Linked DNA regions of Caenorhabditis elegans. The protein of the gene in region 1 interacts with the protein of each later gene in a biochemical or structural test. Each region holds a gene or a part of one and is shown on either strand. Other genes may lie near its edges.

What was found.
Region 2: of the proteins of par-3 (region 1) and par-1, one has a biochemical effect on the other in vitro, tested with the Caenorhabditis elegans proteins (one study listed by BioGRID).

What each region holds. Positions count from the first base shown.
Region 1 is NC_003281.10:5,662,400-5,667,366, reverse strand, and holds the start of par-3 (PDZ domain-containing protein), read right to left. Parts: upstream 3,135-4,967; 5' UTR 3,064-3,134; intron 3,006-3,063; 5' UTR 2,996-3,005; coding exon 2,828-2,995; intron 2,422-2,827; coding exon 2,332-2,421; intron 2,279-2,331; coding exon 2,216-2,278; intron 1-2,215. UniProt on the Caenorhabditis elegans protein: In cooperation with pkc-3, required for establishing cell polarity and regulating spindle orientation in the early embryo. Localization is crucial for recruiting par-6 and pkc-3 to the peripheral apical cortex and restricting par-2 to basolateral surfaces.
Region 2 is NC_003283.11:14,123,249-14,128,319, forward strand, and holds the start of par-1 (Serine/threonine-protein kinase par-1), read right to left. Parts: upstream 3,291-5,071; coding exon 3,067-3,290; exon of another isoform or gene 3,008-3,066; intron 2,996-3,007; coding exon 2,863-2,995; intron 550-2,862; coding exon 1-549. UniProt on the Caenorhabditis elegans protein: Required for cytoplasmic partitioning and asymmetric cell division in early embryogenesis. Phosphorylates and restricts the asymmetry effector mex-5 (and possibly also mex-6) to the anterior cytoplasm of the zygote.

The DNA.
Region 1 (4,967 bases):
TTCATGTACGAGAGGGCCCGAAGCTGCACCATAAAAAGGCATCGAGCACGGGTAAACTGTGAGAACAAGAAGAATACAGGATGACTGTACGGAATGACTCATATCATTTATGTGTGCTCTTCGCTCCAAGACCCCCCAACAAGTAAGCCACGGTGGGGTTGCGCAAGGGCATCAAGAAGAGGAGCGGCTGAGAAAAAATGACGACAATCATCAGATCGAACGACAAATAGAAACAGAAACACTCGGAAGAGAAGGGAAGAGAGATAGAAAGGGGAAGATGTCTATATACACATCATTCCTAACCATTTCTTCTTATCTTCTCAATAGTTGGTAAAATGTCCATGATATTTGTTCTCGTCGCGAACAACAACAACACAAGCTGTTTATCAGTAAAGAAAAATACAAAAACCACCCGAAAAAAAGCTGCTTTCAGAACAGATGATTCGTAGTGGCAGCGGAGGATGGCGATAACATGAGATATGAGTGTTATGACATTGCATGTAGAATAGGGGGTGCTTTATTTCACGATGATGGCGAGGAGAGAGAGATAGAGATAGATGAACAACTTTAAGTGCTGCCAATTCACATGTTCTGGAGCTATTCGGAGGCCTTTGGAGTCAAATACAATAAGTTTGAAAGGAACAATAATTCAAGGTTTTCACATCACAATTTTCATTTTTCAACTGAAATTCAAAACTTCCACAATTATGAATAACGCCAAAGTTGTTCACAATTTTTGAATTGAAATTCAAAACCGAACAAAAACATTCCAAGGTGACTCACCATATTTTTTTAGTCACACGAAAACTTTGAGTTCTGTTCAATTTTCTTTTCGGCTGGGACTAAACACAGCTTTACATGTTACATGACCATAAAAACTGGATCAAATTAGTAAATGGAAAATTTATAAAGTCTGATACGGCTGAAAAAAAAACTCCTGCCTTTGAACCGTGCTCATCGTAATATCAAAAGTGTAGGCGGCGGGTTTAAAACTGGCGCCCAACTTCCTAACAAAACACTAATTTCTGCAATTGACTCACACTTTCTACTCGTACTCCTATTACACAACGTCCAACTATACATTCCATTTGATTAATTTCAAGTTGGTTGTTGCTGCTGATAATGATTATATCGTCCTCAACGTCAAATAAATCTAAATCAACAAAACTGAGAGAGAGAGAGAGAGAGAGATAACAAATCTTAAGCCTTCGAATAAATTCTTATCAGATTTATTTAGATCAACTGCCTGCCTACAGCGGAAAACTTAATTTACTGCGAAACGAATGCTACAACCTGCGCGAACAGGAAGCATGATGATCGACGACGATGATGATGAGGGGGAAGAGATTCGTACAAAATCCGCCATGAAGTGAACATGGTGAGAGACCAATGCATGTTATATAAACAAAAATCTACCAAGCGCGTCGAAATCAATCCGTTTATTGCAAATTGCAAAATCCAATCGGGACGAGGCGACGGCCTCCGGAATTTCCATGCCGCACAGCGTACGCCGATTAAAGTCAAATTCGACCAGAATCCATTTTGGAAATTAATCCCTCTTTGGCTAGGATTCGCTAGTTATGGTTGGTGGTCCAAGAGGAGAAAATTGCCTTCAATTTGTAGAGATTTTCAAGAAAATGAAGCGATCATTGGATATTCAATCAAGATAAATGTTTTACTGCTTAGTAAATATAAATTGGGATGATAACCACTAAGTCTTAATGTTTAAAGTGAGAAGATCAGGAGTAACTAAATAAAAATCCAAGAGCACCACAGTTCAACTCCACAAAATAGTAAAACTTTTTGACAGTCACTTATGAGAGAGAATGAAGAAATATCTATTATTTACAGTGTTGTGTGCCAACAACACACTGTAACACTGTCTGCGTCTCTTCCAAACTTTCTTTTTCTCCAAAGCGGAAAAGGAAGGGGATTATTTGGTGAAAATGAACAGAGAAATGGTATTCAACACATCCTCATCGGTGCGGCCTTGTTCTCAGCCGAATTAACCTCTCCGAGAAAACGAAAGGGGGCTGCTGCTTCTTCGGGAATGGAATAATATTGGAAGAGAATAAGACGAAGATAAAATTGCGTGCTTCTTGTTGATTTTCCTTTCATTATTCCCGACTGACTGTATTCATGGGAAAATTTGGGATACGCTTTTTTGCCTCCAAAATGACCTTTTTTCTGCAAATTTTTGGAGAAAAAAAATTACCATTCCCCTCGCTTTTTTGTACCGAAGAAGTGCTGCGTCTGCTAGTTGACCAACTGTCTGATCCTGAACAAGAAAAATATTAAAAAATTGATTGAACATTTGAAAAAAAAGCTCACCGATTCCTTCCATGGTACCACAATTTTCATTCGTCCAAATTGAACAGTGACTCGGCGAGTTCCATTCAGTGGAAGCGATTGATATTGGCTCTGAAAAATTAAAATATTGCTTATAATTATAAATTACAACCAAGGTTTCAAATATTCAATGGATTTCACATTTTTTAAAGTAAAAAATAATTCCAGATTTCGGTGTTATAATCGAAAAAGCCAGAAATTTCAAATTTGAAAAGGATCTTAAACTTTCCAACTCAAAAATAGAATGTGTACAAAATTCGGATTTTGACTTAAAAATTTGAATTTACAAAATCATTTTAAAATGCGCATTTTTGCAGTATGAAAATTTGCAGAAATGGAATTCTCAGCAGTTCAAGCATTTTTTTGAAACAAAAATCGGGTAGAACTGTTGACAGTTTGAATTGAAGATTTCTGAAGCGTGAATGAAAGATAATTCAAGATTTTTTCTCCAATTTTTAAGAAAAAAAAACTTCCGCACTCTATCAAGTGTAGATATTGAGGAATTCGCGTAACCACTCGCAATTCCGTACTGTTGCATTCGTTTTTTCAGTGTCGATTCACCCTCGTCGCTGCTTTTACAGCTTCCCGATGGTTCGCCACCTTCCGGACACGATGTGCTAGATGATGACGTGGATGAAGCCGACATGATGATCGATCTGAAAATGAGCAGATATAAAGAAAAATTAAATGAAATGAAAAGAAGTTTTAACAAACCAATCAACGTTTCTCCTCCCGAGAGGCTCTCTCGTTTCGCACCTATTTGCTCTGCGAGACCTTTTCTATCTGCAAGAAAATATATATTAGAGTGATAAGAAAATGATTGGTGTGTCTGTGAAGTAAGTAACAGTAAGAGAGAAAGAGCAAATGATTTAGTGTGCTCAGCGATGGAAAAAAGTTTGAATTTAGCGGGAAAACATTAAAATCTTAAAAATTTGTCCGAATTGCCCGCGCCAATTTTAAAAGGATACAAAAATTAGCTTTTTAGTGATTTTATTCTTGAGTTTTCAAATCTGTAATACAAAAAATTCAGCGTTTTAAGTTTTGTTTTTGCGCAGACAAATTCAGCTCGAAAAACAATATTCTGAAAAAAATCGGCCCGATTTCCGATTTCAATCGGATTTTTTCGTGTTTTCAAGATCTGAATAGCTTAATTGATCTTCTGGACGAGAATTAGTTGACGGAATGAGAAAAAACTCAAAATATCGCACATAAATCAATAGACAATCTAAAAATTTGAAGTTTTTGCAGATTTTAATTTTCAAAAAAAATTTCCCGCCATGCGATAGGTCTCGCCGCGAATGCGTACCGTACCCATCTGTTCCGAAAAATGATTACTGTATTTCTCAATTTCACAAGTCTACAAATTTTTTTAAATTTTATTTAAGAAAAAGCGGCCTTAAAACTGAATTCGCAGTCATCGCATTGCTCATCGCATAGCTAAATAATAAATGAATTTTTGATATCAAAACAAACAATGAAACCTTTGCTGGGAAAATGGGAGGACATTTCTGGAAGACAGAACGGGAGGAAGGTGGTTATCCAATTACATTTTTGGATTCTCTCTACTCTATTTTCTCTCTCAGTGCTCACCAAGGATTTCCAAATGTGCCTATTTTATTTCCACTTGGGCAATTTGTCAAGTGGAGAAGTCACACAGAGGATCCTCTAGAGAAGATGATGATCCATTATAATGAGCATGTTGGAGGAGACGAGTTTTTGGAAGAACACCGAGTTGTGCTGGGATGGATTTGTAAAAAAACAGGAAAGACTTGAAAATAAATTGCTCTACTTTTTGGGGAAAATTCAATTTTTCTTGGATTCGGAAAACCTTATTGTCGGTTTGTGATTTAAAATCAGACGCGGAATTTTGCGTTTTTCCAAAAATACGATACGAAAATGTTTTGTTAAATACATATATGTGGGGAACGCTATGAAAATTCAATGAAAATTCTTGAGCAACGAAAGTTTGAAATTACAGTACTCCTTAAAGGCGCAACCCTTTTCGCATTTAACAACAGTTTGTCGTGTCGAGACCGGGTACCGTATTTTCGGCGTAAAATAAACTAAAACCGACTATAGGTCACATATTGTGTACCATTACACTTTCTGATTGGCATTTTCCTAATGTAAAATGTCAAAAAAGAGAAGGTTGAGTCAGTGCGCACCAGCTGTATTGCACAAGAGTTAGAGAGCCATCACCTCATTGCATATGCCAACTTGACGCCACGACACACATATTTCATGAGATGGATTGGAGAAGCAAAATGACAAATTATAGTCGTGTCAATAAGTTATATGAAGTGGGTGCTGTCCCGACTATTAGTTGAGCTGGCAAACGACGAAATGAACAGAGATTGGCGCAGCGGTGCGCGATTGGATATTAGAAAAACAGTGAGTTACCAGCGGAGCTCGCGCGGCTTGTCAAATGCTCGGAGAGCCTGAATGGAAAAGCTCAAACTGAACAATCAACTTTTTGCACTTTTCTACGATTGCTTTTCCGAAAGTTTAAAAATCTACAAGAAAGATATTTTTAATTGCCTTTTATCGAAAAAAAAAGAGCAGGCGAGGTATTGCCATCGACGTTCATACCTCAACTTAATGTCAATGAGACTCATAGG
Region 2 (5,071 bases), on another chromosome or scaffold:
TGGTAGACTTCCGGATACAAGAGTATAGAGAATTACACCAAGACTCCAAACATCTACTTCAGGACCATCGTACTTTTTACCGGAAAATAATTCTGGAGCAGCGTACGGTGGAGATCCACAAAATGTGTCGAGTTTGTTTCCAAGTGAGAAGGTATTCGAAAATCCAAAATCAGCAATTTTAATATTCATATCTTGATCGAGAAGCAAATTTTCAGCTTTCAAATCTCGATGAATTATATTTTTCGAATGCAAATATTGAACAGCAGAGACAATTTGTCGAAATTTGGCTCTTGCTTCTTTCTCTTTCATTCTTCCGTGTGCAACCAAATAATCAAATACTTCACCACCGGATGCATATTCGAGTACTAAATACAGTGTCTGTTCAGTTTCCATCACTTGATATAATTTCACAATATTCGGATGATCCAATTGTTTCATAATTTTCACTTCTCGGAACAATTTTTGAAGACTCGATGGGTTCAGAGCAGTCTTGTCGATAATTTTTATAGCGACTTCATGTCCGGTTATCACGTGCTTTGCGAGTTTTACCTGCAAAAATAATTAATTAAATGGTCATATATCTAAGATTTATTTTTGTCAGGCTGTTTCGTATTTCCGACTGGGAAAAAAAAAGATTTTTAATAAAAAGTTACGGTGCACGGTCTCCAAGGTCCGGACACGACTTAAAATGTTCTGAACAAAAGAGTGTACTCCTTTAAAGGGTACTGTAGTTGTGATTCCCTGTTTTTTGTGCAATGTTTTGCAAATTTTCACAATATGTCTATCATTTTTTCGAAGTTTATATTTCTTTCATGACTTTTATATGATTTTGGGTTTTCGAAAAATAAATTTTAAGCGTAAAAAAATGAAACCGAGATTTTTTTTTCTGAAATTTTCTCTCGTTTCTCAAAAAAAATATATAAAAAAGTTAAATTACTTCTCAAAAAGGAAATATCATTAACTATATATAAAAAAATACAGTTCGTCTGTCCGGAGTTTGTAGTCTATGTAGTCTTTGGAGTCTGTGACGTCACGCCCAAATTTCAGTGAGAATAGTGGGCGTGGCACCCTTCGTGGTGAGACCCATCGTGTTGAGACCCTACGTGGTGAGACCCTTCGTGGTGAGACCCTTCGTGGTGAGACCCATCGTGGTGAGACCCTTCGTGGTGAGACCCAAAATGTTGGCGTGAAATTCAAATTTTAAGTGAAAAAAATTTTGGCGGGAAATTCAAATTTTAAGTGAAAAAAATTTTGGCGGGAAATTCAAATTTTCAGTAAAAAAAATTTTGGCGGGAAATTCAAATTTTCAGTGAAAAAAATTTTAGCAGGAAATTCAAATTTTCAGTTAAAAAAATTTTGGCGGGAAATTCAATCAGTGAAAAAAATTTTGGCGGGAAATTCAAATTTTCAGTGAAAAAAATTTTGGCGGGAAATTCAAATTTTCAGTGAAAAAATTTTGGCGGGAAATTCAAATTTTCAGTGAAAAAAATTTTAGCAGGAAATTCAAATTTTCAGTAAAAAAAATTTTGGCGGGAAATTCAATCAGTGAAAAAAATTTTGGCAGGAAATTCAAATTTTCAGTAAAAAAAATTTTGGCGGGAAATTCAAATTTTCAGTGAAAAAAATTTTTGGCGGGAAATTCAAATTTTCAGTGAAAAAATTTTTGGCGGGAAATTCAAATTTTCAGTGAAAAAATTTTTGGCGGGAAATTCAAATTTTCAGTGAAAAAATTTTTGGCGGGAAATTCAAATTTTCAGTGAAAAAAATTTTAGCGGGAAATTCAAATTTTCAGTGAAAAAATTTTTGGCGGGAAATTCAAATTTTCTGAGAAACTTTTTGTTAGCTTAAGTACCACCTGGAACTGGCGAGACCCATCGTGGTGGGACCTTTAAAAATATGGGCGGGAGCTTCAAAATTTATGAGAAAAGAAATTTTGGCGGGAATTCAAATTTCCAAGAAAAATTTTGGCGGGAAATTCAAATTTTCTGAGAAAAAGATTTTGACGGGAAATTCAAATTTTCTGAGGAAAACATTTGGCGGGAAATTCAAATTTTGGTTCTGGAATCAATTTTTTGTTTCAGCACCTTCTGGAAGTTTCAAGAAAATTCTAGAATGTTCTAGAATCATCTGGAAAATTCAAAAAAGTTCTGAAATGCTCTACAACCTCCTATAACTGTAGGAGTTTTTATTTGTTTCGTCACATCTATATTCAAAGAACTTACTATTAGTAGTTAATTATTCAGACTTCTCCAGTTAAGGAAAGTTATTAACTTATTGAAAAACTGTAACTCTGTGGAATTTTTTCGGGGGAGGGGGACAGCTCGCCACGCCAACAGTGAGAAAAATAGTGTGGTGCGCGGACCTCGAATGATGTCGGCGGCTGATATTACCTGGGGTACCGCTTTTTGCCTTTTCCCCGTGAGTGAACGAGAAAAAGGCGGGGACTATTTTGGCGTACACGCAACGCAGTTTTATAATTTTGAGTGTAGAAAAATCAGAACATTCTAACTGTCTCTTTGAATTTTCTGAATCGAATACCATGGAAGAAGAAAATGCGATTTAATCGATGAAGTTTCAACTTTTTTAATGATACATTTTTGAATGATTAAAAGGACATCTATGTATTATACATTTTAAACTCCGCCAGTCGTTGGCCGCGCCGGAGGCGCGGTCATCGACTGGTTTTAATAAATAAAATTTTTAAAAAATTTGGAAAACAGAAAATTTGCCAAAAACCGGGAGTTTGTAACTACAGTAATCCTTAAAGGCGCTCGGTCGTGTCGAGACCGGCTACAGTATGTTTCAAGCTCTAATTTTTTGATAACTATTTTTTTTCGAAATTTCCAATCATCAAGTGCTCACCTTTGCAAAATTTCCCTTTCCAATAGTCTTCAATAGCTTATACTTTCCAACGTGTACATCCTGATCGTTGCGTCGTGCTGCCGATCGACTTGACATACCCGATTGTCCAGTAGATCGTGCATGTGATGAAGAGCTGGAAAAATTTTTATTGAAAACTGGTGGACTGGGGCTTTATTTTAATTTTAAATGTGAACTAAAATTAACTTTTTTCGGTTATGTGTGACATGATCTCCATCAGGTGACACTTTCACCGTTCGCCGTTTCCCAGATGAAGTTAGTGTGGGAGCCATCGGAGCTGTAGTGACCACTTCAGACACTTTTCGCTTCGGGATCAGAGATTCCTCCTCTTCCGGAATAGGCGTCACAGATGAACTACTTGGCTGGCACATAAATCTAGCGAGTAACGACGAGTATGCCGCATTGAACATATCGAATTAGGTCAAACGGACGCGTAAGAGCCCTGGGGCTCCCCGAAATGGAGCAAAGCGTGGAGGACGGACACACTGGAAAAAACGAGGAGAGCGCCGGCAGTAGAAGAGGAGCAAGCGAGCAAGAAGAAGAAGATGGGCGGCCTTTCTCCATACACATCCATCCATCCATCCATCCACACTTTGGAGAAGAGACACAAATTGCATCCATGTCTCTCTCTATCTGTCTGTATTCCTCTTGAAAAAAGTGTGAGCAAAAGGAGAAAAAAACTAAGAGGGAATATGTGTCCCCTTCTCTTTCTATTGCTCCCATCACATCGGAATTTCTCCAAAAAACCCTCCCCGCCGACCGATAAATGCCCCCACAAAGTGCTGCTCCAAGTGCTACATAAAATCGTGTCCCCCCCCCCCCCGCCATGCCTCTTCGTTTTTTCTAATTTCCCTTCGCGGACCCCCGTTTTTTTGTGGCTTTGATGGACGGGGCTCGTTGAATTTCTGTGTTTAAATTTTCATTCGATGCTGACTGCTTGCGGGGCCATCCAACGTCATCTCGTTGTGCTTGCAATTCTTCATTTTGAGTGAAGACGTCAGCACAGAGGGGAAGAAATGACGACTTTTACAGCCGATTTAATGAAAAAAAAAAACTCGAAAAATAGCGCTTCGGAAACTTTTTTTTTTCATTTGAGACGCGTTGTTCCAATAGAAAAGGAAGTTCCAGCCCCTCAGTTAGAAAAAATTGTTTTTCAAAAAGAAAACCGTTAAACTGCCTTTTTTGGATATAAAATCAAAGGTCAACCGAATCTAGAAACGTACTAATTATATTCGGCCACTTTGCCCCATTTAGTGGCTACGTTCATCATATTGCCCGTACCTCGTAGAACACAAAAAAAGTAAGGCGAACTCAGGCGCCGGACATAAAATGTAAAATCTGATGTTCAACAAGAACAACGATGGTCTTCTTCTATACTACAAGCTGCTATGATGAATCATGGAAAATTTCTTGCAGCACGACCAACGAAAAATTGAGGGGGCGATGAGTCATATTCAAGAAGAGAAGCAGCCGGAAAAAATATTTTGAAACAAGATAGAAACCTGGTCAATTCATATTCCGGAAAAAAGGTCCGAGGCTGTTGAGATGGATAATATGCAGAATGCCGTGAAGATGTGGAAGGTGGTGAATATGAATATGGATGATCGTCACAGCACAAATCATCGAGATCCAGTGCAAATGCGTACGATTTCTTCGTCATCTTAACAGTTCTTGAATCTTGAATCGCGAACAATAATTGAATAAAATAGTGTCGCACGTGAATGTGTAAGGTGATCCAGCAGCTTCTGAGCAGGTGTGTCAACCAGTCTGCACTGTCAGTCAGTTCAGTACAAAAATGAGTCAGTTCTTCAATTCTCTCAGTCGAGGCGCTTGTCGTTTTCTCACAACGTCTGCGTGTCCACCTCTCCTATTACTGACTCTCTTTCCGATAAGTCAATAATAAAAATTGAATAGATTGGGGGTGGAGGAGGTAGAACCGAATAGAATAGGACAACACACCAGGTGCACCGAGACGACGAAGATGGAGTTGAAAAAAAGAAGTTCGCGTCTCACTTTTCTTCTTTATAATCGTACTAACCGAGAAACTCATCACAAACTCTCGGATTGACGTGGCACTATTAAATAGGTTGAGAACTAAGAGGGTGGAGGAAACATGAAAATGTACACCAAAGAGCATCATTACAAAAGCAATGAATAGGGTTGTGCCAGTTTTTGGTTGTTAGTCAATTAG